Arabidopsis thaliana: one gene and its partner. The protein of the gene in region 1 interacts with the protein of each later gene in a pairwise test. Each region holds a gene or a part of one and is shown in the gene's direction. Other genes may lie near its edges.

Region 1 (15,806 bases):
AGGTATGTAAAACCGGTATGTAGTTTGTCTCCAACAAATTTCTTCATTTTTTCTCGGTCCCAACCAGTTGGTAGATGAAAAGCGGTCCAATTAACAAACGGATTCGTCAGTTGTCTCTCGTCGCAACCATTCAATCCTACGTGTAATTCCTCAGTTGTCTCTGGTCTTCAACAAAAGACAAGCCCACAAAGAGAAAACAAAAAAAAAGTAAAGAAAAAGAAAATTGTGAAGCGGTGAAAACAAGAGTTCCAAAAAGGTGGCTCCTTTTTGTTTCTGGAGATGCGTTATTGTGACCCTTCTTTGAAATTTAGGGTTCATTTTCTCAGATTTCGAGTTCGTTGTGTTTGAATCTCTATTGGGTTTACTTTCTTATTCGATTTGGGGGAAATGGCTGATTGGTATCAGCTTGCACAGTCTATAATCTTTGGTTTGATCTTCGCTTACCTTCTCGCTAAGCTAATCTCTATCCTCCTCGCTTTTAAAGACGAGAATCTCTCACTCACTCGTAACCACACGACTCAATCGGAGTATGAGAACTTGCGAAAGGTCGAAACTTTAACTGGGATTAGCGGCGAGACTGATTCTCTTATAGCTGAGCAAGGTAGCTTGAGAGGTGATGAAGATGAATCAGATGATGATGATTGGGAAGGTGTCGAAAGTACAGAACTTGATGAGGCATTTAGTGCTGCTACGGCTTTTGTTGCTGCTGCTGCATCGGATAGGCTTTCGCAGAAAGTTTCTAATGAGTTGCAACTTCAGCTTTATGGATTGTATAAAATTGCTACTGAAGGACCTTGTACTGCTCCTCAACCATCAGCTCTTAAAATGACTGCTCGTGCCAAGTGGTTTGTCTAACACTCTTATTGATTCTCTGATTCAAATGTTTGGGACTGTGAAAGATGATTGCTTGATCATGTTTACTTGTGATGTACTGATGTTTCTTGATCATGGATGTATATTATTTTGATTTCACCAAGTTCGTATCTTTCATTGCTAATGTATGGAAAGGATTGCTTTTGTTGGTGTATTGATTAGTGATCTGATTCAAATCTTATGACTGTGAAGATTGTTACTTAATCATGTTTACTTGTGATGTACTGATTATTCTTCATCCTGGATGTATCTTGCTTTGTGTGAGTACCGAAAGGATTTGCTTTTGTTGTTTTGTTGATTGGTAACTTAGGGATGCATTTTGATCGACTGAGATTTGTTATGATCTTTTTTGTTCTAGGCAAGCATGGCAGAAATTGGGTGCTATGCCTCCTGAGGAAGCGATGGAGAAGTATATCGACCTTGTTACTCAGCTTTACCCAGCTTGGGTTGAAGGTGGCTCGGTTAGTTGTCTTCTTACCTGCTTCTGTTATTCCCATTTCTTTGGACTGTTTATGGATGGTCTGTTTTCGTTCTTAAATCTGTCTTTATTTCTTGGCTTGTTTGCTTCGTTGCGGACTATTAGAAACGAAGAAATCGGAGTGGTGAGGCTGCAGGCCCCATGGGACCGGTTTTTAGCTCATTGGTGTACGAAGAGGAATCTGACAATGAGTTGTAAGGTTCCTAAGCAATTAGTTACAGATTCATCTATGAACTTTTGGTTTTCTTTTCTCAGTTTCTCTATATGACTAGCTGACTAGATCAGAGAAGGAATGTATATATCATAATACTCACCTTAGGTAGATCAAAGAATCATGTGTTAGTTTAAATCATAGTAGAAGCTCTGTTCATTCTTGCGTTCTTACTCCATGTTCCAGGAAGATTGACGCCATACACGCCTTTGCTAGAGAAGGAGAAGTCGAGAATCTATTGAAATGCATAGAAAATGGCATACCCGTAAATGCAAGAGGTTAGTAGTCTTGTATCATTTTCACAGAATGTTCGGATCTGGTTTGGAAACTTAACAGTTTCTCCATCTTGGAAATGTCAGATAGTGAAGGTCGAACACCACTGCATTGGGCTATAGACCGTGGCCATCTTAACGTTGCTGAAGCTCTGGTTGATAAGAACGCAGATGTGAATGCTAAAGTAAATAAATAACCAAAACCCCCTAAACTAATTCTTTCTCTCAATTACAGACTTTTATGTTTTTGTCGCTGACAAACTTTGTGCAGGACAATGAAGGCCAAACCTCTCTACACTATGCTGTTGTGTGCGAAAGAGAAGCACTCGCCGAGTTTCTGGTGAAGCAGAAAGCTGATACAACCATTAAAGACGAAGACGGAAACTCGCCTCTTGATCTCTGTGAATCAGAATGGTCTTGGATGCGAGAGAAGAAGGATTCCAATTAGTGTTTTTTAAGTCTTTAAAATTGTGTGTCAAAGCTAGATGCTTGTGTTTTTCTTACATTTCCTCTGAGCCTCTTTGCTTCCTCTTAAGCTTATGTTTTAACATACAACAACACAAGTTACATATGATATAGTAGCTCTAGTTTTTATTGGTTACTATATTGAACCCAGAGAGATCATCATCATCAATCATCATAACTCAATAATAGTTTTTTTTTTGTTAGTATAATGTTTCTCTCTTTCGTTCGTGACCCTTTCATGTTTTTTCAGCCATCTGAATCATTATTATCATACCTGTAAAACAATTTTGTTGATTACTTGTAAAATTTATAAGTATTTTAAATATGATACAAATTGTACCTTCGGAATAAGAAAAGAAAAAAAATCTTCTTCTTCGCATCTCGCTGTAAAACAATCCGGACCGTTGATTAATTAACGATGAGAATATATAAGGTGGGGTTCAGATAAGGACCACCCAACACGCGATGTACGACATAATCACTCCAGATTATATCAATTCTTTAATCAGAAATATATTTTTAGTGTGCAAAAATCATAAAGAAAAATATTTTCCCTTTTTATATATATATTGGGTAATTCAGATTTTTTTCTATTTATGTTTTTATTTGAAAAAAATAAGATACACTGAACAAACAATTATGATTGGAAACAAATTTTCATATTTAGAAGATTTATACAACTTTTTTTTAATTGGGTAATTTTAAAAGATATTTTCCTATATATAGTTTTTATAAAAATATTAGGATACACTGAACAAAACCTAAATATACAATTGAGTACAAATATATATAAGTTTGGAAAACAATTTCAAAATTAATAGATTTACATAATTTGTGTTCAAAACAGTTTTTTTATTTGTTTATATAAATATTTGGTTAAAAGTTTAATAATAAAATTTAAAGTCCATCTTCACATCCGATTCTTCTCTTCTCTTCTCTCTCTCTCTTCCCTTTTTCGCTGGAACTGATTTTTTTCTTCTCTCTCTCTCTCTCTCTTCCTTCTGGGCTTCTAGGGTTTGTCCTCTCCAGTCCCCGATTTCCGCTTTATCCGATCGGCCGCCGCCGAGATTCTAGGTTACCCTTCTTCACTTCATCTATTCAACTTTCTCCCTAAGATCCATCTTCAGATTCATCACTTCCCAATTCGCTTTTTTTTTTTCCTGATTCGATCTCGATTCGTTCAATCATCCATTTCCAACTTTAGTTTCGATTTGTTCACTGTTTTATGATTTGAACTCGTTCGTAATCTGAGATTTGCTTTTCGATTTTTTAGTTAGATTCATTTGTTCTATTAACTTGTTGATTTGGTCATCTTAGTAACTAGTTTGATTTCGTGTTTTATATTCGATTTCGTGCTCGGATCTGTTGTTCTGGCTGTTATAGTTGAATCTGACAGTGTTTTTAAGCGTCAATGGCTCGTGCTTTGATCTCTTATTGCTATTACATGGTTTTTTCGATTCATAGTGATTTAGTAGTCTTTCACCTTTATGGCTTTTTGGATCGTTGACGAGTTTCTTCATGTTGTTGGCTTAATTTACTGATTCTGTCTTACTTCTTCTTTATTTTCAGTTTTGCTGAATCTGTTTGTTTCTGTTGCAGATAAACCTATGGCAATGGAGGTTACGCAGTTGCTCATTAATGCTCAGTCGATTGATGGAACTGTACGTAAGCACGCGGAAGAAAGTCTTAAGCAGTTTCAGGAGCAAAACCTTGCGGGTTTCTTGTTGTCGCTTGCTGGAGAGCTTGCGAATGATGAGAAGCCAGTAGATAGCAGGAAATTAGCTGGTTTAGTCCTTAAAAATGCTCTTGATGCTAAGGAACAACACAGGAAGTATGAGCTTGTTCAGAGATGGTTGGCTCTAGACATGTCAACAAAGTCGCAGATCAGAGCTTTCTTGTTGAAGACACTGTCGGCACCTGTGCCTGATGTTCGTTCGACTGCATCTCAGGTCATTGCTAAGGTTGCAGGTATTGAGTTACCACAGAAGCAGTGGCCTGAGCTCATAGTGTCTCTTCTCTCAAATATTCACCAGTTACCTGCTCATGTCAAGCAAGCCACTTTGGAGACTCTTGGATACCTATGTGAAGAAGTGTCACCTGATGTTGTTGAACAGGAGCATGTAAATAAGATACTCACAGCTGTTGTTCAGGGTATGAATGCTGCTGAAGGTAATACTGATGTTAGACTTGCTGCAACCCGTGCTTTATACATGGCTCTCGGATTCGCCCAAGCAAATTTCAACAACGACATGGAGCGTGATTATATCATGAGAGTTGTGTGTGAAGCAACCCTGTCCCCTGAGGTGAAAATTAGGCAGGCAGCTTTTGAGTGTTTGGTATCTATCGCTTCCACATACTATGAGAAGTTGGCGCATTACATGCAAGATATATTCAACATCACAGCTAAGGCTGTAAGAGAAGATGACGAGTCTGTTGCTCTACAGGCAATTGAGTTCTGGAGTTCTATTTGTGACGAAGAGATTGACATCTTAGAAGAATATGGTGGTGAGTTCGCTGGGGATTCTGATGTTCCATGCTTTTATTTTACTAAGCAGGCTCTCCCTGGTCTTGTGCCTCTACTGCTGGAGACTCTTCTGAAGCAAGAAGAAGATCAAGATTTGGATGAAGGGGCTTGGAATATTGCAATGGCAGGTGGGACATGCCTCGGTTTGGTTGCTAGGGCAGTTGGAGATGACATTGTTCCACATGTCATGCCGTTTATTGAAGAGAAAATATCAAAGCCTGATTGGAGAGAGCGAGAAGCTGCAACTTATGCTTTTGGTTCCATTTTGGAAGGCCCTTCTGCCGATAAGTTGATGGCAATTGTTAACGCAGCGTTAACATTTATGCTCAATGCTCTAACAAATGACCCAAGCAACCATGTGAAAGACACAACCGCATGGACCCTTGGTCGGATATTTGAGTTCCTTCATGGTTCAACAATCGAGACACCTATTATTAATCAGGCAAACTGCCAGCAGATAATCACAGTACTCATCCAGAGCATGAATGATGCGCCTAATGTTGCCGAGAAGGCTTGTGGGGCTCTGTACTTCCTTGCTCAAGGCTATGAGGATATCGGTCCCAGTTCTCCGTTAACACCCTTCTTCCAGGAAATTATTAAGTCACTTTTAGCTGTTGCACACAGAGAGGATGCAACTGAATCACGCTTGCGGACTGCAGCATATGAGGCATTGAATGAAGTTGTCAGGTGTTCAACTGATGAAACGTCTACCATGGTTCTGCAATTAGTACCAGTGATAATGATGGAGCTTCACAATACTTTGGAAGGGGAAAAGCTTTCATTGGATGAGAGGGAGAAACAAAACGAGTTGCAGGGACTTCTATGTGGATGCTTGCAGGTCATCATACAGAAATTAGGATCTGAACCAACCAAGTCTAAGTTCATGGAGTATGCAGACCAAATGATGGGACTTTTCCTGAGGGTGTTTGGTTGTAGAAGTGCAACTGCACATGAGGAAGCCATGCTTGCCATTGGTGCTCTTGCTTATGCAGCAGGTCCCAATTTTGCCAAATACATGCCTGAGTTTTATAAGTACTTGGAGATGGGTCTTCAAAACTTTGAAGAATACCAAGTGTGTGCTGTTACTGTTGGTGTTGTTGGGGATGTCTGCAGAGCATTGGAGGACAAGATTTTACCTTATTGCGATGGGATTATGACACAGCTTCTGAAAGATTTGTCGAGCAACCAATTGCACCGATCAGTGAAGCCACCGATATTCTCCTGTTTTGGTGACATAGCACTTGCTATCGGTGAGGATTTTGATAAGTACTGGAGGTATTCAATGCCGATGCTTCAGAGTGCCGCAGAGTTATCTGCTCACTCGGCTGGAGCTGATGATGAAATGACGGAGTACACAAACTCATTGAGAAACGGAATCCTTGAGGCTTATTCAGGCATATTTCAAGGTTTCAAGAACTCCGCCAAAACCCAGCTCCTGATTCCTTTCGCACCCCATATCCTCCAGTTTTTGGACAGTATATACATGGAGAAAGACATGTAAGTTTGGTTACGACCCAACTGAATTTCTATTATGTCATAGCAGTTGTTTAATTTTGTGGTAAAATTGCCTTGGGACAGGGACGAGGTGGTGATGAAGACAGCGATTGGGGTCTTAGGAGATTTAGCAGATACACTAGGGAGTCATGTGGGTGGTTTGATACAACAGTCAGTGTCAAGTAAAGAGTTCTTAAACGAATGTTTGTCTTCTGAAGACCACACAATTAAAGAAGCAGCCGAATGGGCGAAGCATGCCATAACCCGTGCCATATCTGTTTGAAGGCTCTTCTTTTGCCTATAAGAAAGAAAATTCCTTTTGCTTTTTAGTAAAGTCTGCATGCATCTCTGGGTGGGTTGAGTCGGTCGGGGGGAGGGGTAGAGCTGCAACATCCGAGTCACATCAGCATCATCAGCATCAGTTTCATTTGCATCATCAGCATAACTGGGGTCAGTCAGGGAATCGTTGAGTCGTGGATGTGGGGAATGATGAGTTTTGGGGTAAATAATGAAACTGGAAGAGTCACGGGTGAAAGTTTCCCGGGTAAGGTTAAATCCCCGGGAGTAGAAAGAGGAGGAAGTGAGTCATGGTCGTTTTCTGGTGGGTTTTGGGACAAAGTTATACCAAAAAAAAAAAGGTTTCATGGAACATCTCATAATACATTCTTGTTTTTTCTTTTCTCTCATATGTTCTTCAACCCCTTGAGGAGGGAGAGGTCTCAGGTTTTTATCAAGTGGGGGCATTATTAGAGGACAATCCCTTGATTTTTTCTTTTGTTTTCTTTTATTATTTGGTTAGTTGCAGTCTTTGCATCATCATTTTGTCTTTTGGGGGGGTTTGTATGTTTGATTAAAAGCATTATTCACATTTTTATTTTTATATAAAGAAGTTTCACATGTCTGTCTATCTTCTCTTTGCTATGATGCAGTTTAGGGGGTTTTGCATATATACTTGTGTTTTGTTTGCAATCAAGTTTCAAATGTCACATACAGGAACATTTTTATTATATGGTGTCATGTCTTAGGGTCTTAAAGAGGTCCACATCTATTCATTTTACTATGGAACTGTTTACAATCGTTTAGAATCCATTATTTGATTTGGCTCGAACTATATGGGAAAGGGCACATGTTAATAGGAGAAAACGTCCTGCCTTACTCTGCTTCCAAAGAGTCAAGTTAAGAGATCGAAGAACATTTCACATTCACGCTGTTTATGGAAACCTCAATTTTGATTGTATGTGTTGCTTTTTTTTGGTTTTCCAAACGCCAAATGCAACTGATACCGAACCTATATTTTGAAAAATGTTTTCATGTGTATTTGAAACATTCTAGACCATTCAAGTTATGGTTTAAATTAGTTTCTCTCGGTTCTATGTATTAGTCCCAAACCATGTTTCTGACGTCTCGAGAATTTTTCTCTTGAACTAAATATATAATGTCATAATTCATTCGACATATCTTTTTCGAATTGATGATTTAGGCGAGAGAAACGTTGGTTCTGTTGGTATTTTTTTTTTTTTCATTGTGATGACATACCCATTTAAATCTCACTCAAATGGACAATAAAACACATAAAAGATAGATGATGGCTAAACATCCAAGAGAAATAGGACACGCCACTCTGAATTGAAATTGGGAGTTGAAAAAGAATGGTGGTAATACGAAGTGGGCCTTTTTTATTGTCAAAGGACTTGTCCAAGCACACCCACATATATCACATACACTGATACACACACAAAAAAAAAAAACATTTTTGTCGTCCGCGACGATTTTTTTCATATTCAAATAATTTCATTACGGCGTTAATACTTTATTTTGCGACTTTAAACTTTACCTTTAGTCTTTAAATGCAATACTGAAATAGCACCGAAAGATATATGAGCGTCGTCAGCTGAAACTGCCAAAAAAAGGAGAAAATCTTACGATCCAAGTTATTAGTCAAAAGAAACATAATTATTGATTAAAGCATGAACTTCTTGCGACAAAAAATAACTCCAATTTTTCTTTCAATAGCTATTATCTAACACATTTTACCTTAAGGTTACGGATCAATACATTTTTAAAAATAATAATGATTAGTAAATACTTTCTTAGAAGATGAACGCCATTAAAGAAAACTCTGAAAAAAAAAAAAAAACGGATGTTTTTTAAGAAAATTAATTCGTTTAGTAGGACAACGAAAACCTAATATATAAGCTAATTTAATGGATAAAAACTAGAACTTTGGTTCAAACTACATTTATAGATCTAACTATGCGTTCTCATTGCCTGATGGCTTTCATTTTTTGATGTTGTTCCTTCTAATGTTGATACGCTCTTAAGCGATGATGTTATTGGGTATGTGCGCCTAAGGCAAGTAAGTTTGTAATTTTTCTTATAATTTTTAGTCTCCCGTCTTCTACAGAAAAAAAAACTACACTTATGAGATGAATTGTATATTAAAAATTTAAAACGAAGGAAATATTTAAGAAAAGTAGTGAAATTATTAGTTGTGGGTGTCTCGTGATTTATTATTCGCGTTGTAAACTATGTTAGTATTGAAATTGTGTTTTTGTTCTCTTTTTTTTTTAACTAATAGACGTACGTTTTTTTTTTGTCAAAGACTAATAGATGTACGTTTCGTCGTCTTTCTGTGTAGTTGACATTGGACAACAGAAGTTAAGACTTAAGACACGTACGTTGTTGCCCAATAAAACATTGCTAATTTAGTGGCTCATTGGTTTCTTATTCATCACTCCTTTTAAACGCAACATATAATTGCCGACACATTGATTATTTCCCTACTCACGAACTTTCCCTTTTTTTTTTTTTTTTTTGTGAAGTCATGCATAGTCTTCGGACAGAAGAGCTGCACGTACATGTGTTAACTGTTAAGTGAATAATGTTTTAGATAGTACAACGATTCTACTTAAGCAGTTTAGCTGGTTTAATGTACGTGTAGTCTATATTAGTTTTTATCATATTCAGATGCTGAAAAAGAATCTGTTTCATTTTATTTTTTATAGAAAACTGCAGATATTTACTTGGAGGTTGTGAGAAAACATTTTAAGATGGAAATAATTAACCAGTTAAGAAAGTTGAAGTGCGAAACCATTTTTTTATATGAAAGGATCTATAGAGGGGATTTATAAAGTCTTCTAATCTAAAATATATGGGTTATGGTGCAATACACACACACATATATATAAGTATAACCATTCATATGGTGACTTTTTGGGGGTAAAAGTTCTTTAGTTTTTGGGATTTAGTAGAATTATGGATTTTAGGTCAAAACACATAATGTTATGAGGAACGATGTTTATTAATTGTAAAATAAGATTTTGGGGGATAGTGGTCTCTCACTATAATAATGGGTCACTTAAAAAGATGCACTTCTCTGATACATTTTGCAGGCCACTCGCTATGTCTGTCTCAATCCTAGTTGACTTCTTATAAAGTTGTGAAGGCCGAAATGGAAGGATTAGTTCCACTATTTCTCTTTATTTGTATCAAATTATTTAGTGTTTGGTACCACGGATTTTAAAATCTGCCCTAACCATCTTTTGACTTCCTAATTACTTACGTTATTCCCCTGTCTAGGAGTTGCCTACCATGTTGGTTTATGTGATCGAAGTTTACTGAACTTAGTCTATCTATTTTGATCCCTGTAAAATTTACATTGACCGCAAGGAAAATGTTTTGATTCCACATTTAAACTTTAATTTACTAGTACTGATCTTTGTTCTAATATGTCAACTGTACATGGTGTATTTAAATATAACAACCAAAATTTCAAACAGAAATTGGATTAAAAGGTTTTGAAAATAATCATTGGATTAATAAGTGTGTTCAAGTTTGGGTATTTGTAGGGTCTTTGTTTGAAAAGTGTGTACCCTTGATACAAATCTTCGCTTTCGTTTTGATTCATTAACAGCATTGAAAACTTACAATAATTACGTACGAGTTTGGTATGATTCCATCTTTACTTTTGATAATGGACCCAATTATCTTAGCAGAATTCAATTTCCAATAAAATTTTGCGTCAATAAGTAGACTTAAGATCACACGTGGTGCTGCACTCATCGAACCTATGATACATTACAGCTGTATGGGAAAAAGTGGTGAAAACAATGGGCTTAAAAGTTAAAACTTAGATTAAAATCGATCATGTAACCAGAATGAAACTTTTCCTTTAAGAAAATATATTGGTTTTGACTAAAATCATCTAAAATGAAACATCACTTAGAAATAAGAACTAGTATAATAGAGAGTGTTTTGAGATCAAACCGATTAAAATTGTAAAATAAAAAAAAAATGTTTTCTTTTTTTAATGAAACTCAAAGGATATAATGAAAATTTATATGGTCAAGAGATGAACTTCCACTCAAGTTAATGAATTAGGTCACTTTTCTTGCATCAAACAAACCTTTTTTCATTATGATTTGATCCACATATATAACCTTTCGGATGGCTTAGGGCACAACTTACTCTAATTCAAGTATTTGATGGTTCCCACTTCACTTGGTTCACAAACATTTACAGTTAGTAATCTATACTCAGATTTAACTTGTTATTCCTAATTACATTTTCCTATCTGGCAAATTAACAATATAGATAAACTATTTATCTATCATCAAAAATTGATTGCCAGAAGAAAAAAAGGCTAATTAAAAGAAACGTCAACTTTTTGTTTGGTAGTTAAAGTTTTGTGACTTTTGTCTATAGTATATCTAGTACGGTCTAATTAACATAATCATAAGATAAAAACGATATACAGAATTTGAAATTTGAACAATGTCATGCTATAAGGAAAAGTGTGTTAAGAAAAAAAGTGAGGTTACTAGCTAATATACGATTTTTGTCCACAAGCATAAATAGAGGTAAGCGTTAAGTGTTCCTTTTTGGGAGATGTAACACAATCAACAGTTAAGTTGACTTTTTCAACCTTTTCTAGGGTTTGTGGCCTGTAGGTTCATTGCGTTAACCCAATAACTTCTTATTCTTCTCATTTTTGTTCTTGCTACTATCATCACCATTTTGATGTTAGTAGTCTCACCACTGTTTTCACCTTTTTTTGATAATTGTTTTGTGATATATAAAAAAAATCGATATCTACGTGATATTCTTATTTTAAAAAGTTATATTGATAAGAGCTTTACATATTTTCATTGTCATAAACAGAACCAACCATCTTAGTCATGGTCATCATCATTGTCATAGTCATCATCATCACCATTACGACTAATATTATACATGGACCATAACAGTTTCCACCACATTAACTTGACCGTTTATAAAATGGGAACTAACCTTCCCCATCTTCTCATATGAAAATCCATTTTGTCCTCATTTTCCATTGATTAGTTGCATTCTCTCCCCTAAACGAACAAAGAGTAATCATCAAAAACCATATAATATGCCTCTTAGGATTGAACCCCTATCTCTACTCTTCCTCATTCTCATTATATGCTCTTCATCATTAGGTAAACATATAATTGATATTCATATATTCCATCCTTTTCAATTTATAGTCTTTTAACTTTGTTTTAAGGGATGACTATCAACCTTGCGTCCCAACACATCCATCTTAGTCCGAGATCAGCTTTTGGTATTATCTTGTTGAACATTAGTCTTTTCTTCGTTGTTGAATCTAGTGCCTTAAACTACCTTAATACCATTGATTATTAATTACTATTATATTGGTGAACACTTTTTCCATTCTTTCTCCAAAATTAAAACACATCTAACTAACTAGTATGGGTTGAAATAAATAAGTCACTTAAAGAACAATGTATATTCCGCTAACAGAGTGTTTTCTTTTAGCCATAGTGGAAGGCTCTATCCAGCTCGACGGTGCGAAGATGCATGAGAGTTCCATGCTTTACAAGGTATACATCATACATGTAGATGCTTTACGTTTATATATGTTCTTATCAACATTAGAAATGTTGTTAATGTCCAAATATTGACAAGAATTTATGTGTTTATAATTAAAAAGAGTGAGGAGGTGGGTGTGAAGAAGATGGGTCATAGGAAGTTGATGTTCCACTCGACAGCGGACTACGACGACGCAGGACCCAACCCTAAACACGACCCAAGGAGAAGGCCCGGAGGCAAGGGTTGAATCATCAACACAGAACTATCTCTGTCATTATATATATAGTAGCATATATATAAGCACATGCACTAATATCTATATATCATATATGAATATGTATGTGATGTATCCTCCATTCTGACTCTTTTTGTTTGAGGATGAGCTCAGTGTAAAATACCCTTCGGAAACCCGCTAGTGAAAGGATTAGTGTCTAATAACAAGACATAATAAATCCTTATTTATTATCATCTTATTTCATTGACATATATAATATAGCCATTATATCCTGTGTAATCGTTATATCAGAAAATAAATAAAGTGTTATGGTTATTTTTAGTTCTGTATAGTATTATTATAAATGCGTCTTCTACAATATTTCACATTAGTTGATGATTTCAATCTTATGCAGTCAAACACATAGTAAAAAACTCTTTATCAGCATGATCACTAAACGAAAAAGAAATGAAGACAGATTTTATGCTTATCATAGCTAAAACCTTATATGTCGCTATTACAATAACATAGTACAAATGAAACAAGATTGCAATGGTTGATTTAAAAAAAGAAAATATAAAACTAAAATGAAAAAACAAATATAAAATTAAAACAGTTGCGCATCCAGGGAATCGAACCCTGGTCAGTACCGTGGGAGGGTACTATGATACCACTACACCAGATGCGCTTTTATTCATTGTCTCTTCTCTTACATATTTATAGCGAAGACTAGTTACTATGGTTATACATATTTCACAAGCATACATAAAATTCACATACTAACACTTAAATATGTCTATGTAAATTATTGAAGAGAAACAGAGAAAACGCCTTTTGTTTGGTTACAGAATTTACAAGAATCGATTATACAACCTCTCATAACTCTCTTGACTCCTATCCTTCAACCTTTACTTAGTTTCATACATCTTTGTGTCAACAAATCTTAAATCTTACATATATAATACATTCAAATCAAAACCTTCTCTCTTCTCTATCGGCATCCCAACACAAGTCTTCCTTCTTCGTTTATGGACTCATTCCTACATATTTTCTGAAGGTCTATGTAACCAATGATAGTGTCCTCAAAGACCACATCCTCCAAATTTGCCTCCTCAAATGTCGAACCGGATAATACCGTGTTCCTAAACACCGCACCTTTCAGATTCGATTTCCCGAAATTCACCCGATCGATAACAGCATTAGTGAAATTCACCCCTAGAAAAGAATTCACACTAAAACATTAATTAACATTTTGGTCCATAATTTTACCATATGCTTTCAAATTTCAAGATTTAAGTCTATATACCTTTAAAGCTTGCTTCTACAGCATAAGCTTTTGACATAACAACTTCAGTCATATCTGCACCATCAAACTTAGCCCCAACCATCAAGGCTGCAGAGAGAGTCTTGCCTTTGAGATTAGTTTGATCATTTGTGTAATCACAGAACCTAAGATCCAGTGGTTTGTCATAGACACCATTTGCTTGACCTATCGTGTTACCAACAAATGCTTTTTCACACCGGTCTGGTTCTGTTGATAACGGAGGAAGTCTCTGAAAAAAACAATCCATTTATCCATTTCTTTAAATTCTAAAACATAGCCATCTTCAGACACAAACATAGAAAAGAGAAAGGGCCATATAATGTGACAGACCTGGTTAGCAGCAATAACAGGAGAAGCTATTGTAAGAGTGCAAGCACAGAGAGCTGCGCAAGCGATAGATCCAAGCTCCTTAAGAGGAAAGAGACTCTTCTTTACACCTTCACCATTTTCTCTGTTTTCTCCTGCTGAGAACATAATGCAAATCAAGATCACATACACTACTTTAGCTTCACTTTAAAAGCAAGATTTTGACATAACAATATTCATAAACCCATCTATAAAGATGAATTCATTGAAGGTAAAGCTAAAGATTCTTGAAAATACTTAGAAATTTCGAAGAACCGTACAACCAAGAAGAAGTAGCAGAGAGATCTTGAAAAACCAATTAAAGCAGAGAGAAAAAAGATGACATTTACCGGAGCAGTGTACTGTTACTAAAGATCTAGGCTCACGGCGGAGGTTTACAGAGAAAAACGGTGAAGAGATTTGATTCCTCGTGAATTGAACAGGAAGCGAAGCCATGGAAGTGTGTTTCAGATTTTTGTTCGAACTTGGACAACCATAGAGTTTTATCAATTCGTTATGGATCATGCCTATGACGTGGCATGACAGATCATAATATCAGACTATATACGATTTAGCCCATTGGGCCTGATTACTATTTGGTCCATTTGTAAATCTTTCATCGGTTTTGGATATAATATCAAGTAGTGCAGCCCATCGGTTAAACATCTACAGTATATTATTGATGACTTCTAACCCACGCAAAATATATGATTTACCATGCTAAATACGTAATTAATAGCTTAATAGTAAATATTTTATTTTATATATTTTTATTTATGTTAAAATAAAATTTATATTTGTATTTATTACATTAAAAACGATTTTAAATAATAAATGATTATATTTATTTTGTGTAAGCTAATAAAAGATATTAAAAAAATTGATTAGTATGAGAACATCTTCTACAAATGTAAGGTTATCTTATAAGATACACTCGGAATATTATTAGTAAGATTTTTGTTTCCATAGTCTATCGGATCCTTCTAGGTCAATTAAAAGTTAAAACCCTAGAGCACAAAACCATCATTCATGATTGCACACACTAATTTGTTTGACACAACAATTTCCTAACATTCAACCACAAACTCTTACCTTATCTCGATTTGGTCAATCAGAAAATTTTCAGATTCATTGATCATCATTTACTATGTGTTCTCATATATTTGCGATTTCTTTTACTGCTTAGTCAAAGAGTGGGTAAATCGCCAAGACAAGTTTCAACAATTCTTGTAATTCATGTTACACCACAAACTCTAGTTTTTTTTAACTGTATGTACTTGGAAGAAAACAAGTTTTACTCTGTACAAAATTTACAGCTACAAATCTCCGGAGCCTCTCTTTGAGGTGGAGAGCTCTTACAATCTATTGATTTGTCTCTTATAATAAGTGGAAATCAAATCTAGAACAAAGCTATATAACAAACTCATCTACACGTTAGAGACTCAAATTACACATAATCAACGAATCAATAATCACTACGTTAGAAATTTATCAATACAAAATCCTAAATTGAAAAAAGGATCTTAGGAGAAGGCATTGGAAGATCTTTCTTGTGGAAGTAACGTCAACATCTTTCTCCTTCAACCACTCCTTTACATGATCACTACTTTGCCTCTCTTGGTTTTGGACCCTACAATAATCGCCTGTCAATTTTCAGACAAATCCGTACTGTCTAAAAACCATCTCCAACCGCCACTAATTGCCAAAAACAGAAACATCTGTTCCTTATCATCTCCTGCGTCTACATCAA
Region 2 (14,841 bases), on another chromosome or scaffold:
TAACAATATAGATATCTCATATTAAACCCAATTTTTGATCTTTAACTATATTATTTATTAGCCCTTAATATAGGATAATGCATACAAATTTTTTGATAGAGAAAATCATTTTTATGTCCATCTGTCTATTCAATAGCCAAAAGTCCTATTAAACTACATGAGATAATATTTAACTTCATAACTTACCACCAAGAAAATGAAATAAATTAAGAAAATATCTAAAAAGCTTACACACGTGTATGTTGCCCTTAGCCTAATGTGCCTAACTACTACGCACGTGTGGCCGTATGATGTATATAAATACATATACAAGTTTTGCTAAACGCATACCTTTTTTTTTATCTCACCGTCTTTTATTTCGTCTTCCTCATCTTTCTCGTCTCTGAACCTCTTCTCTAAGGTCTCTCTCTTTAAACCTAATTATCTTCTTTAATAACTTAGATTAAATTTCAAAATGCAGATTTTATGCTGTTAGTAATTACGTAATTGATTTTGCTTTTGTTAAATTAATTTGATTAGAACGAAGAAGAAAATTGACAAGTGCAAAAATGGCGACGGATTGCAATAGAGTCAACGATTTCTTGTTTTCTCAGCAGCAAGAGGTAATTAAATCAATTAATTGTATTTTCTCTAATTTCATGAATTTTTTTTTCTAAGCCGTGGTGCAATGTTTTGGTATTTATTTAAGGTATATTTAGCGTTTTTGGTTTAGGAGCAAAATTGAATATTCGATTTTGAAAATTCTAAAGATGGTATTGAATCTGGGTAGCAATAAAATAAAAATTTAAGGGTAAATTCCTTTTTGTTTAATTTTAAGAAAATATGTTGACTACAATTGAACATAATTTTTTATTTAGAAATTAATTTGATAATTTTAAGTTAAGGTCGGATTAGTAGTCAACAAGTCAAAATAATTGTGGTAAATTACCAACCTAATCGTCGGCAATTTAACAGCGGCGTACACGTTTGGTTTCATAATACTTCTATCATTCAAACACTGTTTTTGTTTTAACATATTTCTGGTCAAAATTAAATATAAATGGATTTGATTACTTATTAATTATCAAATTAATATTATGATTTCTAATCTTAATTGGGTTGAAGATTTTTTATTTTTTATTTGTCGGGTGGAAGATATTTCTGATAGGTATACAATATTTTTTATGATAAAAAATCTTATCATAAGATATTTAATGAAACGGACGGTCGTAAACGATAAATTCATCTTCATCTGAACCAACTACTAAATCAACGGTTTATTGTACTGCCACGTGATACGTTTGATGACACATGTGTTCCCAATCCGGATCTTCGCCTTTGATATGTGATCCGGTCCACATGAAATTGCCGATTTCGTCTTGGTCTATGCATTCTCATTTTTTCCTAATTTTGTTTTCTGTCCGATTGTGATTGGTACAATGAACCTCTTTACAAAATCCGGATAATCGGTTTGTCAAATTAAACCCTTTTTGTTAACCTATAGTATGCATACCGGTATGGAAATTGCTTTCCGGTTTTTGTATTTGTCGGTTTATTTTGGTTTGTATTATTTTGTCCTTAGTCTACTTCTGGTGCAAATAAATACGGAGGACTTGTGCCAAAGAAAAAGCCTCTCATCTCTAAGGTGAATTTATCTTTAATTATTTTGTCATTAGTCTACTTCTGGTGCAAATAAGTAGTTGTTAATATTCACGACTTTAAAATCAATGCAGGATTCCAAACGTGCTTTCTTTGATTCAGCAGATTGGGCTTTACTCAAGGTAGCTCAGTTTGTGCAATATATCTAACTTTAAATCTTTTACATATGAAAACATTATTGTAATTGTTTTTATTATATATTTTGATATTCTACAGCAAGAAGCAAGTATAGATCAGAGAACAATAGCGGCAATAGAAAAACTAAGACCCAAATTGCAGGTAATGTTTTAAATCTACTTAGACCAGTAATTACATATAATTAGTACTCTTAATTATTTCACCTAAGTTTTGGTTCATTTGGTGCTAATTTCAGAGAACGCCTCGCAAGCAACTTTCTCCTAGGAGACCCACATGTGCGACGGGAAATGAGAATCTGGTAAGAAAATAGGTTTTTATTATAATTATTACTATTTTGTTCTTATTCTTTTCTTTGTTTTCTTTCTATTTTGTATTTTCATAGTATATGTACATGCAATTTAGTATTTTAAACATGTATTTATAAAAAAAATTGTTATACTTTTTGCAGACAGAGTCGAGCTTTTAGGGTACAATGAAAAGGGTTTGACGTGGAAATGGAACGTGATTGGTTTGGTAGCCTACTCACGTGTTTCATGTTTCCATTAAAAAACTTGTATGCAGTTATTGACAGTTGTTCGGTTATTTTCACTATTGGTTCCTAAAATGCTTGTCGTTTCAATAAGTTGCGCAGACAATTGTTGGTGTGTTCTTTCTTTTTCTTCTTCTCCATTCATAAACCTTGTGGTGTTTAGTTTTTCCTTCAACGAGAAAAAGAAGATTAAAAATCTGGTAAAACTACTTAACATAGGCAAATTGGAGTCAACGATCATGAAATAGTTTATAATTAGATGAGAGGCTAAACAATTGATGTGTAGCATGTACATTAGTTTCATATGTTCAATAATCACTAGTGATTATGCGTTCTTATTTTTACGTTTTGTGGCTGAGTCTATGCTTAGTTAGTAGCTGAAATAATAAAAACAGATTGTTTCACTTTCACCGTGGTGGAGGGTAAATACAGCTTGAATAGAATTATAGAAATATTGTCATTTTCTAGCTAAATATGTGCAACTTCATTACAAGTTCGATTAATATAGGTGAAGCGAGTAAATCAAGATTTAGATGCCTAATATCTGATTTCTTTGCACAATTTTTAGTTACTGAAATTTCCTCCTCCAATATTTCTTAAGTGTCTTGGTTAAGACTTGACAATCACCCTCAAAATCTTATCCACCCTATGTTCCATATGTTTTGAGTTACATTTAACAAGGATTGCTTCAGCTTCTAGTGGTACTAAATTTTACCCTAGAAACACCAATACTTTGGAGTCCATAATGATCACAAATTTTTGTTATAAGTACTAAGTAGCAACAATCATAATTGACTGAAAAACATCTTTGGCATGTTTCATCCATCTTTATTCCACTTGATATAATATTGCAACTCCACACAATTCGATCATCAGCTGGTTGAAACCACTTAATAGTTCCATAAGATATCATTCCACATTGAAAATTTCAAATATACCCCTAAAGTTATAAGAAAATGTCGACATTGCCCAATATGTTTCGACTGATTTTTTTTTAACTTGGTTTGGTAATCATGTCGAAATTGCCAATTGGTTTCTTAATAAACGACGCAGTTTTAATTCTTCTCCGTCTCTTACGTTTTCTCAGCGCCATTGATCCTTCGATCTCAGCAAAACTTTCGCCGGCAAAGTGATTTGAATTCGTGAAGCACTAAATTGTATAATCAGATACGGTGAGATGAAGATTGATCTGAACAAGGTGGCTCGTGAAATCGAAGTGGATAATCGTATTCCTCTCCGTAATTACTACCGCATCGCCGATAATCTCCTCCGACAGGTCTGTTCCCGATATCGCAACGGAGTTTCGATTCAATTTAACTCTAGATGTAGATTCTTAATTCATGTTAAAGCATCTTTAGGATTTGACAAGTTTAGAAACTGGAGAATGTAAACTTGGTATTGATTTTGTTAGGTTTAGGTTATCAATTAAAACAGTGATTGATTTCTGAGAAAGTTACAAAATCAAATGGTAACATGTTTGAACATTGCTCAGGCCAGTATATATCGCGAAGAGAAGAATGTGGTGGATTTGTATATCATGCTTCTTAGATATTCAAGGTAAGGATAAAAGTATCTCTATATGTAGTTTTGAATTTTTGTATGTTCCATGAAAGAGCTACAAGTTTTTTTTTTTTCTGCAGTTTGATTTCTGAAACAATTCCTTTCCATCGAGATTACCAGGCATCGCTTCCACAAGAAAGACTTGGGAGTAGGAAGGTCAGGTATTTCTGTTTTAACCTTCGAATGTTGTTTAGTGTTACTAGACTTAGTAGTGTCCTCAGATTTGGTCTTTTTTTTGTGCTACAGAGGTTGCGTGCTGTAATCAATGAGCTCGAGTCTCTGAAACCGGAATTCAACCAGCTAGTGGATAAGCTGAACAGAGTTGAGGATGAATCCCGTCAGGATGGAAGTGATCTCCCGGTCGTATCATATAGTTCAGATGCTGTTGAGTGGCCTCCTGCTCACAAAGCTTCATACTCCAGACCTGATATTAACAAGGTAAGACTTGGAGTTTGCATTGAGTACATAATCTAGGATTTCTATATAATCATTGCATCTTCAAAATCCATGTGATTTCTTACCAGCAATGCCTTTTCCATTTTTTTTGTCTTCTCTGGATGCAGCCCTTACCGACATCTCAACCATCCTGGACGTATAACAATAATCTGACTTCATCATCAAATCGTACACAGATTGATCAGCAGTTCCAGAAGCTGTGAGTATTCTCCCTTAATATAATTGTCGGTAATTCTGCTTAATAGGAATTCAAACACTATAAGCTCTCTGAGCTTTAGGAACCCTGAGAAATAGGGGTATGCCATCCGATATGTGTCACTGGTTTTCTTGCTTTACATCTACCTGTTTCTGTGATCACCATATATATACGATGTTTGGGTCACTTATTAGTTATTACCAGAAAAACTACCATTCTGATGGACTAAACTGCCAATGCTGCTTGGATTTTCTATTTATGGTATCATGTTTATTGGTTGCGTTTTGTGGAATTCTTCTTTGGTTTTGGGATATTGAAACAAGAAATGAGTCTATGAGACTCAAGTGCTACTCCATATTAATCTGGGATGATCATTGAGACTTTAATTGTGCTCCTGAACCTGCAGATCTTTTGATTTCCTGCCTCCAAACCAAGCAACCTTGTCAAGACATTCATTTCTAGGTCCGAATGGTCTTAAAAGGCAAATGGTTGCACCCAAGTCAGAGATAAAGGTATAGTGCTGATCATTGTTACCTTTCTCACATTTTCTCACTCTTTCTTTTACTCTTGGTCCAATTCAATGTTTAATTATCTTAGATCTGAAGGAACTGAGAAAAATCTTTATTTTGTATGGAATGATAGGTTCAATATCCGAGTAATACAGATTGGGGTTCTGCGGACAATTCAGGGTAAGTACTCATCTTCTGTTACCTTCTAAGCTTTTCCTTAAAGAAGTCATGGCTATTTCAAACTGACTCCATGTATTTCTGCAGTTTAATTGAAGCTGGACCTAGCAGTTCCTCAGCATCACTTAATGGTGATTCTCAAGAAGTCTCAACACTGAACTCTGTGCTCTCCTTAGATGATGGTCGATGGCAGCGTCATTCTGAGGCAGTAAATTCCCAGTTTATTAGCGACGCAACTGAAGACCCGTTTCAGTTTGTCGGTATGAAGCAACCTTCCCCTCCTCCCGTGCTTGCTCAAGTGCATCAAGAGTTAGCCCAAATTTGCCCATCTAAAGTAGCTGATCCTAGACCAGGACCTGCAATTCCTTCCCTAGAAGGAAAAGAGGGCAGCAATTCTTATCAGCATTTGCATGTGGTATGTTCCAGCTGTATCTTCTTTCACTTTTGTGCAGTTTCCACCAATTCCATAGTGTTTGTGAGAGTAAAGTGGAAGGGATATGCATATCAAGTAGAAAATTATCCATGATTAGTCTAATTATTTGGTATGTGTTCAAGAATCAACACATTAAATCATCGAAGTATTGGATTCATGACCATTACAGCTTCTTAAAAGCTTGCTAGAATCGGTTCTGGAAATCTTTCTCTTTCACCTCTTCTTAATCTACTACTAATGTTGTCACCCTTTATTTAAATTTGCTGAAGCCTGTGCGCATAATGGATGATTTCCTAAGGCTAGCTCGGTCAAACACAGAACGGAATTTAGAAACTTGTGGAGTACTTGCTGGTTCTCTGGTGAGTAGATGGAACCTTTGCATTTATAATTTTTGATTCCAATATCATGATCAGCTCGCCATTACTTATATTCTGTCTATTTGCCATGTTTACAGAAAAACAGGGTTTTTCATATCACTACTCTCATAATCCCAAAGCAGGAGTCTACCTCAGATTCTGTATGTTCTTCATTTTTCTTAACCATTTACATCAATAACAATCTTTTTAATTCTCGCTGGTATGCTTCTCACACTTAGGTTCATCATCATTTGGGTAATGTACAGTGCCAAACACTAAACGAGAAGAAATATTCGAGTACAGGACAGACTCTCTCTATTTCCCTTGGGTTGGATTCATGTAAGTTCTCTCACCCGAACTAAAAAATCTTCCATTTCCAGATAATGACTTACCAAAACGTTACTCAGAACAATTGTGAATCCATATATCCACTAGTTGATAAGCTTTATCGATTCGTCTTGCTAATTTACATTTTGGTTTCAGACACACCCTACACAAACTTGCTTCATGTCATCAGTTGATCTACACACACACTACTCGTATCAGGTAACAAACTCCCCTTATCAATATCTCTATGTTAATCACTTATGATGCGATTATAGTAAAACCATCATCTATATCTATTGTCCCAGATAATGCTACCGGAGGCGGTGGCAATCGTAATGGCACCAACAGACGAATCAACACCTCATGGAATATTCCATCTCTCTGATCCATCAGGCGTATCTGTGATCCGAAACTGCCAGCAACGAGGCTTCCACCCACACGAAGAATCAGAAGACGGTAACCCAATCTACGAGCATTGCTCACACGTCTTCCTCAATGCCAAACTCAAATATGAAGTCCTCGATCTCCGCTAAAAGCCAACCTCCATCACCATGTTATTATTTTTCCTGGAGTCTTAACTTTAAAGAGACATTAAAAAGACCTCAGAGATCAGATGTCTCAGCCGTACATATATGTGTATACTTCTTAAAAAAACCTTCTCTTTAAAGTTCCAAACTTGGCTGAGCCGTCTTAAGTAATGATGATTGTGTTTATTTATAACGAGTACACTTTTAAATTCGTATGCACCATTTCACAAAGCCAGATGTTTGATTAAAAAAACATAAGTATTTTTTTCTGACGATTTTTTCATTTAAATTAAAATTCATTATAGTCTGTGGGAAAGACCTGATACCATGAAAGTTGAGGTGAAAATCTGTTATTAGCTTTCATCAGATAAGAACGGAGAGAGAATAACAGATTTTCACCTCCTAGATAATGCTACCAGAGGTACTTGCAATCGTTATGGCTCCAACAGACGAATCTACCCCAATATATGAGCATTGCTCATACGTCTTCCTCAACGTCAAACTCAAATGCGAAGTTCTCTACTCTAAACTTTCTTAAACGAATATAATATACTTTTAAAATTACTTTCACAAAACCAAGTTTTGCCAAAAAAAAAACTGTATTTTATTTTAAATTAAATTTAGTCGGTGCGAAAAGACTAATGAATAAACAAGTCAACTTAAGTAAATTAATGGTCTCTGTATCGAATCTTAAAATTTAGATTTACCAAAATGTTTTTGTAAACCAACGAAATTCAATCTTTCTCTCTGTGCCTTTTTTCCTCTTTTCTCGTTCCCCTCTACTTCATTTAGGGTTTATCATCCTCTACCAATCCGCCGATTCTATACATACACTTTTCATATATATACATACATCGTCTCCACTCTCGTTGGCTCATTTTTCATTCACCGCCACGAAGCAAGAGGAGATTCGTATTAGCCACCATGTCTTTGAGACCTAACGCTAAGACTGAGGTTCGCCGGAACCGCTACAAAGTGGCGGTGGATGCTGAGGAAGGAAGACGGAGGAGAGAGGACAACATGGTCGAGATCCGTAAGAGTAAGCGTGAAGAAAGCTTACAGAAGAAGCGTCGTGAAGGCCTTCAAGCTAATCAGCTACCTCAATTCGCTCCTTCTCCTGTTCCTGCTTCATCAACTGTTGAGAAGAAGGTAATATTACTAGCGATCTGGAACCGTTTCCTAGGATTTGATTGGTTTAGATCGATTCGATTTTGATTTTGGTTTTGGTTTTGGCTAGTTGGAGAGTTTGCCTGCTATGGTTGGTGGTGTTTGGTCAGATGATAGAAGTTTACAGCTTGAAGCGACTACTCAGTTCCGGAAATTGCTTTCTATTGAGCGTAGTCCTCCGATTGAAGAAGTGATTGATGCTGGTGTTGTGCCTCGGTTTGTGGAATTTCTCACTAGAGAGGATTATCCACAGCTTCAGGTTTGGTGGATCGTTATGTATCTGTCATATTTTGCTAGAATTGTCTTCTGATACTAATTACTTGTGTGTGTGTGTGTGATTTCAGTTTGAGGCTGCTTGGGCATTGACAAACATTGCTTCTGGGACTTCAGAGAATACAAAGGTGGTCATTGAACATGGTGCTGTTCCGATTTTTGTTCAACTATTGGCTTCTCAGAGTGATGATGTCCGTGAGCAGGTAAGATATGTGTTTATGGTTTTTTCTCATGACTCAATATACTGTCAATTTTGTTTGTTTTCGGGAACAAGCATGTTCTAAAGCTTGTTTGTTTCTTAATCTTTTCATGTGTAAGGCTGTGTGGGCATTAGGGAATGTTGCTGGTGATTCTCCACGGTGCAGAGATCTTGTCCTTGGTCAAGGAGCTTTGATACCATTACTCTCTCAGTTGAATGAGCATGCTAAACTCTCGATGCTGAGAAATGCTACTTGGACCCTCTCTAATTTCTGCAGGGGCAAGCCACAGCCTCCCTTTGACCAGGTTTGTCTCTCATTCCTATCTTAATCTCTGCCCAAAGATGAAGGAGTTTTTCTTTTTAATTCTTGTGATCTCTTAATAACAGGTCCGTCCAGCACTCCCAGCCCTTGAACGCCTGATTCATTCGACTGATGAGGAAGTGTTAACGGATGCATGTTGGGCTCTCTCTTACCTTTCCGATGGCACAAATGACAAAATCCAATCTGTCATTGAGGCAGGTGTTGTTCCTCGACTCGTCGAGCTTCTCCAGTGAGTTTCAAATCCCATGATTTCACCGTGCTTTTGTATAATGAATGTTATGTGTTAATGAATATTATCAATTTTATTTTGCTGTAGGCATCAATCACCATCTGTGCTTATTCCTGCCCTTCGTAGTATTGGTAACATTGTCACTGGAGATGATCTGCAGACACAGGTATGTTTGTTCTTTTATAGTGTCATTCATTCATATTATTCAGGATACATGGTCCAATACTGATGGGAAGAATGAAATACACTGGCTAGAAAGCTGAATCTGAGTTTGTTGATAATGACATTTAGTTGTCAAAAGTTACTTGTCAAATTCTTCCTAGATGAATCTCTAGAATGGGAACTGTCAATTCTTCCCAGATTTTATTTCCCCCCCTGCATGTTTTTTACCCTAGTTATGCAATACCTAACATTCCTTTTGAATAGTTAGACTAATTTAAGGCAGTATGTATAATACTCTTAAGAATCTCACACATGTACCATTCCTCACTTATTTTGCTTTCTTTTTTGGTTGGTTCTACAGTGTGTAATTAGTCATGGTGCACTTCTTAGCCTTTTGAGCCTTCTGACTCACAATCATAAGAAGAGCATCAAAAAGGAAGCTTGCTGGACAATCTCAAATATCACTGCTGGAAACAGGGACCAGATTCAGGTGAACTTTTGCTAAAGATTGTTGTTTCTGCTCAGCTTATCAGTTTCTCATAAACTAATCACTAATGTTGGAAGACATGTTTCAGAAGCCTTTTTGTTGTTTGAAGAAAGATGTTCTGTGTGTTTATGTTCTCTAATATTGTTGTGGTATTGCAGGCTGTGTGTGAAGCTGGTTTGATTTGCCCTCTTGTCAATCTGCTTCAAAATGCGGAGTTTGATATAAAGAAAGAAGCTGCGTGGGCAATATCAAATGCCACTTCAGGTGGTTCTCCTGACCAAATCAAGTAAGATTATCCGATATAAACTCCATGTTCTGTTGATCTCAACTCCTTTAGAATCTTTGTTGGTTATTTTTCAAACAGTCAATTAAGTTATTCCGTTGTGTGTTTTAGGTACATGGTGGAACAGGGAGTCGTGAAACCACTGTGTGATCTTTTGGTGTGCCCTGATCCAAGGATTATCACTGTGTGTCTGGAAGGATTGGAGAACATTTTGAAAGTTGGGGAAGCTGAAAAGGTCACAGGAAATACCGGGGATGTAAACTTTTATGCACAGCTGATCGATGATGCTGAGGGATTAGAAAAGATTGAGAATCTGCAGAGTCATGACAACAGCGAAATCTATGAGAAGGCAGTGAAGATTCTTGAAACGTACTGGTTGGAAGAGGAAGATGAAACTTTACCACCTGGTGATCCCTCTGCACAAGGCTTCCAGTTTGGAGGAGGTAATGATGCAGCCGTACCACCAGGTGGATTCAACTTCCAGTGAAGGTAAAAAAACCTCACTACTTGGGACTAATTTATCTAAGCATCTAAGGCTAGACTAGCAAACAGAGTAAATCTGCCTGTGTGTCTACCTTGTGTGAATCTGTGAGTCTGGTTTTGCTTCCACAGGAGCTGAACATGACGATTTGAAGAGTCGAAGGAGCTTAAAGAGTTTGGGGGCACTGGTTAAAAAGGGTATGATTAGAGAGTCTGGTCTTCTGTGTAAAAGTCAGATGGGGTGCCTTACTTAGTCTGGCCTGGTCCGGTCAGATCCAGTGGTTGGTGGGTTTGAGTCATGGAATAAGCTTGTTGGGGGGGAGTTGGGTAGGAGTCATCAAGGGATATTTATTTTTGGGAAAGGGTTTATAAGTTTTTAAAGTGTGATCTGATGAGAATGTGTCTCTCTGGGTTTTTGTTACATTTGTACTACACAACACTGCAAAGTCAAACATAAAAAAGTTGGTCAAACTTTATTTGGTCTTATTGGTGACATAAAAGCCCAATTGGTTCGTCTCTTTATTGTTTATAGTAAATGTTTTTTTTTATAATCTATTTTAGTGCGGTCCAAGTCATTTTGGGCTATTGTCTACATATGCACGCGTATCTAGTTTCAACATATTTCCATTAATCGATGTTATTAATGGTTATCGTCAACTTCAAGTAGGGAGGGTTTCAATAATAAAAAAATCCTATGTTTTGTTCAATCCCTGTCGTTTATAAGCGTAGGTATGCCTTGGACCCAAAAGAACTCAAATATTCATAAGTCGATTACACAAATTTAAATAAGATGAAATTGACCAAAAAGAGAGATGTTTTGTAATTTTCATACAAAAAAAGTTGCACTACACGAGCATGTCTTCGATATACCTAATATTATTACATAAATTTTTCGTATTTCATTGTGAAGAATTACACAAAATATCTAAAAGACTGGTAAAAAATGCATGCATATCTCTAAGCCCAATTAGGGAAATCTAACGTGGCAAACAACCACAACGAGTAAATCCAATGTATTTCGTGCGCCAGGTTTTGAATTAAAATTTCAAATTTGGTACCAAAGCAAGCAAGATACCAAAAAACCCCCTTCCACAAGATCTTTGTTACAAGTTGTTGTTGTAAAATGATTTTCCCTCTTCTTTTTTCAGTTTGTGGTTGTTTTATTTTTTGGCGGGTGGTTCTATAGTAATAAAACACCGCGCTCGAGGGTAAAAAAGTAATTAAGAAAGAGAAATCTAGGGTTTATTAGTCCCCGCCTCCTCCTTTATTATAAAAACCCTCTCCGTTTGTTTTATCCGTTATTCTTCTGCGGCGTCTCTCTCTCTTCCTTATCATCATCATCTTCACTCTAAACTTCACAGAGAGCCATTCAAGCAGAAGAAGAGCTCTTTGATCCTTCTCTGCCATTTCCGTTACTCTCCTTTCTTCTGTTTCAGAGTTTTCTATTCTTCTCAATCCTATCTCGCTTCGAAGTGGATCAATGTGAGTTTCCATGATCGTTTTTGATCCTTCTCTTACTTGTAGTTGATGATCACGTTTAATAATTGTCTTTTTCTTTTGTAGATGTCAATGACGGAAGAAACCAAGACGACGAAGCTCGAATCGGCGGGAGATTCGTCCGATGTAGACAACGGGAACTGTAGTAGCAGTGGAAGTGGAGGTGATACGAAGAAGACATGCGTTGATTGCGGAACAAGCAGGACTCCTCTTTGGCGTGGTGGACCTGCTGGCCCTAAAGTAAGGATCATGATCTCTCTCTACCATTTTCTTTTAAACCCTTAAAAATCCAAGCTTTAAGGTCTCATGTGTTAGATCTAGTCAAATAGGTACTTGAATCCACTTAAAATGTAGGTTGATCTTGTGTGCTTAGCTCTGTTGCTAGTGGGTTTTGTCTCATTGATGTGATCATGTGTATACATAGTCTAGGTATGCGAGGTTTGTGTCAATCTGTGGTTGATATTTAAATTTGTTATGTGATCTCTATGTTTTGTTTTGATTCTGTGTTTGAAGCCTTATTACTAATTGATCAGGTTAAGATTATTGTTACACTGTTTTTATGATGCCTTTTTTACTAAGAGATGGTTATGTCTCTTTAATTTTAGATCTGTTTGATGATTGTTCACTATTTGTTCTCTGGTCTGATCATGGATTGACTTTGTTTGCAGTCATTGTGCAATGCGTGTGGTATCAAGAGCAGAAAGAAGAGACAAGCAGCTCTTGGAATTAGACAAGATGATATTAAAATCAAGAGCAAAAGTAATAACAATCTTGGTCTTGAGAGCCGAAATGTCAAGACCGGAAAAGGCGAACCAGTTAATGTTAAGATTGCCAAATGTGAACCGGGAATTGTCAAGATTGCCAAAGGTGAACCAGGAAATGTCAAGAACAAAATCAAGAGAGATCCTGAGAATTCCAGTAGCAGCAATAATAACAAGAAGAACGTGAAAAGGGTTGGTAGATTTTTGGATTTTGGGTTTAAGGTACCGGCGATGAAGAGATCGGCTGTGGAGAAGAAGAGGCTATGGAGGAAACTTGGGGAAGAGGAACGAGCCGCAGTACTTCTCATGGCTCTTTCTTGTGGTTGAGATTTTGTCTCTTAACCCTTTTTTTTTGATGTGTCGTAATGGTTGAGTGAAAGAGATTAGGGAAAATAAGTTAGTGAGGAAATGATGAAGAGAGGATTATTAATCCTACTTATCATATATATTAGTTAATGTAATTTTAGAGGCAAGCTAATGTTATATGCCATCTACTAATTAATTATCGTATGAACTCTGGTTTAGTTGATTAATGATCATTTCTTTGAAGTTGAATGATTTGTAATATGTCTCTATTCTTAATTGTTCGCTTAAAGGTGGCTTAAAATGATCTTTTATTAGTTCCAAAATTGTGAATTTTAAGGATCTTTTTGTCACTACTACTCGCTAGTAACGATTTGTTTGAGTAAACTCTAATGGTCAATCAATTGATAAAGAGTCTTTTATTTTTAAAAACTATTATGAATTAGAAAGGAAACCTAATGTGAATTTTGAAAATTTTGCTCCAAAATAAAGTCCAGCTGTTCATATATTGGATATCTCGACCTCCACGCGATCTTGAAGCGCGTGATCTCAGAACGAGACAGCTATAAACAGCTCATGAGTTTTGGGCTTTTCGTTGATGATTATAATAAAAACAGATTTTTTTTATTACAAAAAAAAAAATAAGAGCCGGTGATGGAGACAATTGGGTCTCTCTTCTCATTTTATTGCGATTCTTTTTTTTCTTTTTTTTCACGTCCTTTTTTTTTACAACAAAAGGTTATAAAACATTTTTCTGGCTTCCAAAATTAAAAGATATTATTCTCTTTATATTTTTAGATATTTATTTATTTAATTGGTAAACTCTAAAACGATTATATATAAATTTCTCTAGCATGTCGTCCTGTCGTCTAAAATATGGAAGGATAATAAGAAAATGGCATTTATAGATTAAATTTTGCGGCTGCAAATTCTATGATAAGGAAGAACCATTTTTGTGTATACACTTGCATGCAAATAGACCCACAAATGTGAACATGCTGAAACACAAGCTAAAAACATTATTTGTATATTGACAAAAAAGAAAAAAAAAACATTATTTGTATCACGTTGGAGATTGATTCTGACTTTGAAATATTAAGTAGCAAAATGACTCCAAAATCTCTTTGGTTAATGTAATGTATCTTTTACATAGAAGAAATAATGAAAAAGAAACTCTCATTTTCGTGTAAAGAAACAGATTAAGAGAGCAGATAAAGATTTAAATATATGTTGCTAATGATTTTAGCAAATAAAATAATAATATTAAAATGTGAATTGGTTTATTTTCCACATAAGTTTGATAGAAGTTCAACTATTAACACTTCATCTCGAAAACACTTTTATCATTGCCTAGTTTTGTGTGTCTCTTTGTTTTAAGTTTTTTAACTGAATTAATTTGATACAAAATGTCCAATAATAGCCATTGGTGATTCAGTCTAGTAACTCAAACTGAAATCTTGGTTGACTCCAAAATAGTAATGGTTTGATCTTTATAGTTTTGTTCGTTTAATTTTGGCTAGTGATTGCAAATTAGCAACAGAGGATGTTTGTTATTCCGTTGCTGATTTAGTAACACATTTCGGTTGATTAACAATAATAAAAGAACACTACATTCTATTGTTTTAATCGCTAATGGCCAAATTTCGTTGTCGGAATATCATGTTACTGGTTTATAACAAACATAATTTGTCGTAAACAAATAATGACGATGGAATCCAAAATTGGAACATCAACTTACATCGGATGCTCGTCGAACGTGTAGGCCCAAAAGCACTTATAGCAGTTTGGGGCTTTTCCAATATCAAAGAAGAAAGTAGGACCCAATATTAGCC

What was found.
Region 2: the proteins of AT5G53480 (region 1) and IMPA-2 interact in a two-hybrid assay, tested with the Arabidopsis thaliana proteins (one study listed by BioGRID).

Annotation. Positions count from the first base shown.
Region 1 is NC_003076.8:21,710,110-21,725,915, forward strand, and holds AT5G53480 (ARM repeat superfamily protein), read left to right. Parts: upstream 1-3,135; 5' UTR 3,136-3,373; intron 3,374-3,898; 5' UTR 3,899-3,906; coding exon 3,907-6,320; intron 6,321-6,401; coding exon 6,402-6,600; 3' UTR 6,601-7,769; downstream 7,770-15,806. Other genes in the region: ACBP1 (acyl-CoA binding protein 1), read left to right, coding at 388-845, 1,232-1,334, 1,457-1,545, 1,749-1,840, 1,922-2,019, 2,106-2,282; AT5G53486 (uncharacterized protein), read left to right, coding at 11,713-11,779, 11,848-11,904, 12,120-12,184, 12,295-12,420; AT5G53490 (Tetratricopeptide repeat (TPR)-like superfamily protein), read right to left, coding at 13,379-13,602, 13,694-13,940, 14,042-14,175, 14,407-14,581. UniProt on the Arabidopsis thaliana protein: Acts as a negative effector of drought tolerance. Involved in the regulation of stomatal closure and in the abscisic acid (ABA)-mediated pathway that lead to drought tolerance.
Region 2 is NC_003075.7:9,130,064-9,144,904, reverse strand, and holds IMPA-2 (importin alpha), read left to right. Parts: upstream 1-7,489; 5' UTR 7,490-7,770; coding exon 7,771-7,995; intron 7,996-8,083; coding exon 8,084-8,272; intron 8,273-8,357; coding exon 8,358-8,489; intron 8,490-8,604; coding exon 8,605-8,790; intron 8,791-8,872; coding exon 8,873-9,036; intron 9,037-9,123; coding exon 9,124-9,202; intron 9,203-9,559; coding exon 9,560-9,688; intron 9,689-9,843; coding exon 9,844-9,971; intron 9,972-10,079; coding exon 10,080-10,455; 3' UTR 10,456-10,457; exon of another isoform or gene 10,458-10,580; 3' UTR 10,581-11,155; downstream 11,156-14,841. Other genes in the region: AT4G16146 (cAMP-regulated phosphoprotein 19-related protein), read left to right, coding at 549-602, 1,562-1,624, 1,713-1,760, 1,855-1,917, 2,012-2,074, 2,225-2,242; AT4G16141 (GATA type zinc finger transcription factor family protein), read left to right, coding at 12,012-12,185, 12,614-13,033.